Linked DNA regions of Astyanax mexicanus. The protein of the gene in region 1 purifies or fractionates together with the protein of each later gene. This does not show direct contact. Links are inferred from orthologs where the notes say so. Each region holds a gene or a part of one and is shown on either strand. Other genes may lie near its edges.

Region 1 (3,757 bases):
AATTACAGTTACAATACAGAAAACTCACGGTTCACTTCACAGCACAGCTTTGATTCATTAACTCAATAAAAACAGGATTAAACCTAGTAGAATTGCATTTAATTTGAACAGACAGTTGTGAAAGTTATAGTTTGTGTTATATAGAGCCGTATATCACTCTGTAGTTAGTGCAGAGTACATTTTAAAACACTGGTACATCATCCTCAACCAATACAACTAAAATTAAATAAACTATAAGTGGGTTATAAAATGGTTATCATTATGTTCTCTGTAGGTGAAAGCAGTGTGTAAATCGAGTAGCCACTCCCATCTCTGTCACTTATACTGAGATACGTTTGTGTGTGAAGTGTGAATTTGTTTTTATTTACTTTTACAAAATAGCAAAAATACATGACTCCCCATCCTCCCCTCCCCAGGTAAACAATAATAAATAATCTGTCCAAACAGGGCTGAAGGAGGAGTTTGGAGGTGTGTTTAAACATGTTGTAGAAGATCAGCTCCCAACTCAACCAACAATCCAACCAATCATCTAAACCCAATTCCTACCATATCCTTTAGTGAAGACGTCCTTAGCAGACTTTCCCAGGTCAACGTATGTCGGTGGAACAGCCATGATCTGCAGGAGAACACAGAATTATACTTTACTGAGAGGAACCGCAGAACTGAACCGGAACCGACCCGGTGTGAACTGAAGTGGAGGAGACAGCGCTGTGGAATGTGTGCTGTTATAATAACTGGAGGATTATGGGAACAGTAAATGGTCACTGGGGCGCATCAGAACATGGATCCATAGAGAAACCATCTGACCATCTGCTCTCCTTTCAGCCAATTAGACCCATTCTCACAACAGAGCAACAAACTACAGCTCACTCTCAACACAATCTAAACCACACTGCTGTCAGTTCTTACCTGAGAACCAGTTTAAAAAAGCTAACCCGACCAGAAATCACTGAATCACCAGCATAGAACCTCCCCATAGAACCGCATGCGGCACCATCACTGACTGATCTGATCCGACAACCCTGAGCTCCTGACCTGTACTCCAGTAGTAGTGAGCTAATCACGTCACCACGCTTTCATTAAGCTTTAAGAGTTAAGCATATGCTAATCTATTCCCATTCTGCACGGAGTTAACGCTTCACATAAACAACATTTAAAAACCTCCATGTTTAAAATGCTTTCCTGTAAATGGATCTTCATTCAGATTAAATCCAAATGCTGTGCAGTTTAAGACTAGGCCTAACCCCTGTCTGACAAACTCCTCCTTTTGAGTTAAAACTCAACTACATGGATATTTAAATAAGAGAATGGACTGCTCCTCTAATTTAATTTCTAGCAAATTAATAAAAAATAAAACAAAATATTTAGAAATGGATCAATCCATGTTTTGCGTTCAGGGGATAAATGTGTGTGTAAATTGTTTTATTTTTAGAATTATATTTTATAATTATATCATATATATACGAATATTTAAGAATAAGTAGTTTATTAAAAGCAGGAGGAGAGAGCCGGGTGTTCTGTCGAGTTGTGCTACCCATCGATACGTGCTTCCTAAAGGCACTGCGCATGCGCTGACCTACACTTTTTAATTATTTAGTTTTTTTACAATAAATTTGTTAAAATCCGGTCTCACTGTCACTGCTAAAAAAAGTGTACTATAAAAATGGAAACTAATAATAATAAAAATTACAAATATTATTTAAAAAAATCCAAAAGCAGTATGACCTCTCATTTCCATATCTTTACCATGATACAGTGATTTATGCTATCCAAATACGGTAACGCTACATGCACTGGGACTTCTAGCGGGAACATGCTCTAATATGGAGCTTTTTTTTAGTATTTTTAGAGTTAAATAAGTCTAAAAACACACTAGAGAAGCACAGTTTAAACACAGGCCTGTGTTCAGATCCGGAGTGTGAAGGTGAAGCTGGGAGAGGAGGGTTAGATTTAGCCCGAGTTTAACAGCAGCAGCAGCAGATCTACAGCTTTACTACAGCAGGGTTTATACTCTCAACCTGTATTATATATTAATTATATAAATGAATCTATACACTAATCTATACACTAGAAGAAAGAATAAACTGAGCTGATGCAACACAGCAGTGTGTACAGCCTTCACAATGTCAAGGAGAAAGACCCCCCCCCCCCCCCCCTTACACTCACACACACAGACACACACACACACACACACACACACACTCTCTCTCTCTCTCTCTCTCTCTCTCTCTCCTTCACACACACTCATCCATCCCCGAGTCTCTTCTCTAAATATCGCGGTGTGTGATGAAGGTTACTGAGGGCGGGCAGATCCGCAGCATCACCCCGCTCCCTGCCTGCTCCCTGCCCGCTGGGCTCCGTTAGCCACAGCCGCTAGTTAGAGATGAGTGATCCAGCTCCACAAAGTAAAAATCCACCCAGGTTTCTGGTTCAGTAGATCAGTGGTGAGCTGCAGTAAAAGATCCCGGGGTGGATTTTTACTTTGTGGAGCGGAATTACAGACCTGTGCTACCCGGGTAGCTGAGCTGCGGTCAGGGTCCGGCCTGGAGCAGAAAGACCGCGGGGATGAACGCAGAGGAGGAGACCCACCCAATCCCTCCCCGCGGTCTCACCGCCCAAACCCGGGCATCCCCGGGCTGCAGCACCGCGCTACCAGGCCGCGGACCCGCCTGGCTGCACATCACCCCGCCGCCACCGACAGCTTCAGCCCCGCGCTGCGGCCGCGGTTTCCCGCTAAACCCCGCGGAGCGCAGCCGGGCTGCGGGCAGTGCGGTCTAACAGCGCCGTGTAACCGGTAACAACCATAAACCTGGAGCTGGAGCTTACCGCAGATACAGCCTCTCCGCCCGGCCTGCAGTCTTCAGTCAGGAGAGGAGGATGGGGGGAGGAGACAGAGAGAGAGAGATGGAGGGAGGAGGAGGAGAGGAGAGGTCACGCTGTCCGCGTAACAACATCTGCAGCACCGCCACAGACCTTCTACCCAGGAGAATCCCCATCTCCATCCATCACTCTGTAAATAGAAGTATAGATACTAAAGTTTAATCAAATACTGCTGTAGAAGTTGAAGAATCAACTCAAGTTTTTTACTCTTTAAGTAAAAGTGTAAAAGTACTGGATTCAAAAACTGTGTGCAGGTGTGATGGATCACAGTTAAACCAATAGGGAGTGGGAATGGTATATGTTTATATTTCTCTACATCCAATCAGAATCAGATTCACTCTATCTGGATGGAGAGATTTATCTGGATAGGAGTTTTATTGAATGATGAGAAGCCGGAATGAAAACCAGCTGAAATGAAACAGGAGTAACGAGGCTGTTTTTTAAAATGTAAGAAGTAGAAAGTTCAGATAATTGTGTGAAAATGTAAAATAATTACGGCAGTAAAGTATAGATAACCTACTTTTATACTATACAGAGTATAAATGAATGGGTTCATATGGAGCATTACAGAAAAATCACAGTTTATAAATGTTTGATCATTTTTATAATGAAAAACACGTTTCCTCACCACAGAACTGCATCACATGTTTTATTGCACACATTTTTAAAGCTTTTAAACTTTTTTAAAAGCTCTGTCTGTATTTCCAGCTTAAACTTACCAACCAATCAGCTCACAGTAGCAGTAATGCAGCATCTTTACTGAAACCTGTTCACTGTAGAGAAATGTAATATACAGGTAATTTTCTTTGCTTTTTGGTCAAATTAAAGGAATATTCTGGAGTATTGGACATTATATTTAATTTGAGTTTTATTCGTT
Region 2 (3,757 bases), on another chromosome or scaffold:
TATAAACTACAACCAAAGAAAACAGAAAACCGTACAGAAACTAAAATAAAAATAACACTAATATACCTAAGCTAACTAACAGCTACTTAATAAAGGAAAACTGTAGTTAACTCACTTCATCTCGACACTGTTTCTGGCACATCTGACAGTACCAGCGCAGCTTCTGCAGCCCTTTAGCTTTAATTCGGTTCCCTATCGCTTTAGGGCTCAGGAAATCCGCCTTTCCCATGTTCAACCCTGACTACACACCTATAAACAAAGCGTTAATTTACTATTAAACTAAACTAGTTAACAGTTCCAGAGCCCCGTTCCTGCGTTTCTGTTCTGTTCTTCTGCCTCGCCGCTTCGTGTTTGTGTGTGTATGCGCTCTACGTCATCACTTCGTGTGTATCTGTAATAGCTAGAGAACAGAATGAATCACTCCATTGAATCGGTTCCTTTCAATTAGTCAAACCTTTTCAATTTTTTTACCCAAACTGTGAAGCTTTAGTAAAGATTTCTGTTGTTTACGACTAAATTATGGACTGAAGACTTTTAATACGGTGAGTACTCTTAATAAGTATTTTTTCCTTCAGTCTGATGTTTTAATTTAATTTAATAAAATATAACGTAATTTTCTCCATTGCGCATCAAAAACAGCACATAGCTTCATTCGACGAAAAGGGGGATTTTATATAATCCTACACATTAAATGTATATACAGTAAATAAATATTCATTTCAAATCATAATAAAAAACATCATTATAAATGTACAGAAAACGTCACCTAAAAAATCATAATCTAAATTAGGAAACTTAATTAGAAATGTAGTTTTGCAAATGTAATGTACCTGTATGTTTTCAGCAGATATAAGTAGGTTTTAAGCCTGATTTAAAAAAATAAGCTTTAAATAATATTAAATGTGTGTAAAATAACAAATAATCAAATATATATTTTTTTAATGGTTGATATGAATTTCCCCACAGATTGACTTTTTAAAATAATTATTAAATATTCATAAATGTAATCCACAGTAGTATACCATTTTGATTTTTTTTATTAAACGTTTAATATATTATTAAAGTGAGTCGATTCAAACGTGAATCTACCGTTTTTGAATAAGAACCTGAATCACCTGAAGAATCGGTTCAGTAAACTGAGTCGAACGTCAGCCGGATTCGACATTTTGTAGGCGCTGTACGCATGCGCAGTGCGGCCAGTCTGACCTTCATTGGAAGTGAACATGTTCTGCAGGGCCAGCGCGGTGGTGTTCCTCCCACAATGGTAAAGCCTTTAAAACTCTTCATTTTTACATTTTCTGATTAATGACATTGTGTAAAGCAGTATTACTGTGCAGTGAAGGTGTTCAGGGCCCGGTTCTGTCTGTTATTCGGGTCAGAAGCTCGCAAGGACGAGCCGGTCCCGGTAGGCCTCAGTAGCTTAACGTCAACGGCTGGATTAAGCCTGAGAGTGTGAACTTCACCAGTCTGAGTATTATAATCAATATTAACCCTCTGCATTTATCCACTGCCCTATATTACCCAAAATATAATAAAATAATTAACACACGGGTTTACATAGTTAAATAGCTGTGTAAATTGTAGTTGGGTTTAGCAGTTTGACCTGTTTGTATTAGAGCTACACATGCTTGATGACTGCTTCATATCATCTAGTATTAGGGCCTAAATATATAGATAGTTTAAGTGTAAAATGTAAGTGATGCTGGTCCCTATAAGAAAACTGAAGCTGTTTAATATAACTGATTGAATCCTCTCCTTGTTGCAGTGGGCAGGTCAGGAACATGGCTACCTTGAAGGACAGTAAGTAAACTAAAGCATTTATATTTATACATACAGAGATTTTCATTAAACATATAATTATCTATTTTAGTTTGGGATGCAATGATGTGGGAATTCTGTACAGATGCATATATCTGATATACACACTGATATGTCTGATACACACAGACTACACATCAGTATAGCTTTTATGACTTTATATCTAAATACTACAAATTAGTTGTTTGTGCTGCTGTTAAAGTGTTTTAAACTGTACAATTTTAAGTAGAAAAAATAGCTGAGGGATAATTGACTTAAAAGCTCCTTGTGATGAACCTCAGTCAGTTGATGTACTGTATGTATTTGTATGTAAGGACTTTTTTTTAAAGCTGCATATTTATTTACCTAAAAATTACAAAGCATTTATAGAAGATGCAAAATACTTATTTTTATTGCAGTAAAATAACTTATTTACATTCTGAAAATTTGAGGCCTTTAAAATCCAACTGGACACTTGAGCTACCTGTTCATGCTCTACTCCACTAAATAATTCCAGGTCAGTGACAGGAATCAAACCCAAATTATGCATGTCTGAAAATGTAAGGAATGTTTTGGAGGAGATGAACAGTTTCATTTATATTCAGGAAAATATTGATTTTAAAATGAAGTTTAGGAATAAAACAATTTTAAGATTTTATTCGTTATATTTTGACATATTTAAGTAAATATTTTTTAAATATTTTCTATTACAATTACAATTCTGCTTTTCAGTAATGTTCCTTATAAAACATTAAAGCTTTTTTTGTAATGTTAGAATAGAAATCCTCAAGATTTAGAGGTGTAATGTCAGGCAGACAGTTGACAAAAATCTTGGCATATTAGGTGATATAAATATTAACCTTTAGTAACGTGTTTTTTTTGTATTTTGTATTTTGATCAAAAGTTTACTTAGTTAGTTTCAAATAAAATAAAATAGTCCAAATAAAATGAAATGCTGGTTTTACATTTTAATACGATTTGCCATGAGACTTTTATTGTGAAACCCAAACTGGCAGGTTAGCCATAATGCTAACTGATTTCTGAATTGAATTAATAGCTATTGTTTGATAACAGATGGATAGCACTGTGCTGTTTAGATTAGTAGGATCTGTGGTTTAATAAAAAAGTGGATTATGGCTATATTTCACTCCGTTCTTTAGTTATTGACCACAGAATGCTGGAATGCTAGTTTACAGCTAACTTTAGCAGTAAGGACTGGAGCATGTTAGCCTGCATGCTAACTGTTTTCTGAGATTAATGAATGGCTATTTTGTGCTGTCCTTAAGATGTAACTTTGCTGGCTAGTAGCTACATATGGACGGTTCTACTGTTTGATATGACATGTATGATGTCTGTACTGTATTACTCTGGTCTTCAGTTATGAAGTTCAGAACTCCTAGCAGAGCTGTTCTGTTTGCCCCCAGTGAACATCACTGTAGCCATAGTGCCATAGTAGCCACAGTGTTTGGTCCTTTTCCAGCATACAATTCATGCTTTAGCGAGGACCAGGTTGGAAATAATGGGAGGAAAAAAGCATTTATCAGCAATTACTGATATAATTCCGATATCATTGTGCATCTAATGTTATTCAGTTTAATTGTGTTGATTTGCTTGCATGTAACATCTGTTTTATGGCATATTGACTGACTGGGGGTATGACCCGGTGATGCGTTTTTGTTCATTTCTTTTCTGTTTTGATCTTTAGTCACCATTCGGTTGAAGTCCGTCAAGAACATCCAGAAGATCACCAAGTCCATGAAGATGGTGGCCGCCGCCAAGTATGCTAGGGCTGAGAGGGCCTTGAAGCCAGCTCGTGTCTATGGCACTGGTGCTCTCTGTAAGTTTCCTTGAATAGATTTAGCCTGTTAATTGCAAAATATCTCATTGCTATAACATCAGACTATAATCCACCAATGAGACCTGCTGACAAATCACAAATGTGCAGAATGAGTTTCCCAAA

What was found. The genes of interacting proteins can lie anywhere in the genome.
Region 2: the proteins of vdac1 (region 1) and atp5f1c fractionate together in Homo sapiens (co-fractionation; 3 studies listed by BioGRID, with this or other methods). This does not show direct contact. The link is inferred for Astyanax mexicanus from reciprocal best matches to the Homo sapiens genes VDAC1 and ATP5F1C.

What each region holds. Positions count from the first base shown.
Region 1 is NC_064424.1:47,953,013-47,956,769, forward strand, and holds the start of vdac1 (voltage-dependent anion-selective channel protein 1), read right to left. Parts: upstream 2,955-3,757; 5' UTR 2,827-2,954; intron 617-2,826; 5' UTR 614-616; coding exon 547-613; intron 1-546. UniProt on the Homo sapiens protein: Non-selective voltage-gated ion channel that mediates the transport of anions and cations through the mitochondrion outer membrane and plasma membrane.
Region 2 is NC_064409.1:21,092,001-21,095,757, forward strand, and holds the start of atp5f1c (ATP synthase subunit gamma, mitochondrial), read left to right. Parts: upstream 1-1,153; 5' UTR 1,154-1,223; coding exon 1,224-1,264; intron 1,265-1,765; coding exon 1,766-1,800; intron 1,801-3,502; coding exon 3,503-3,634; intron 3,635-3,757. Other genes in the region: kin (DNA/RNA-binding protein KIN17), read right to left, coding at 116-229.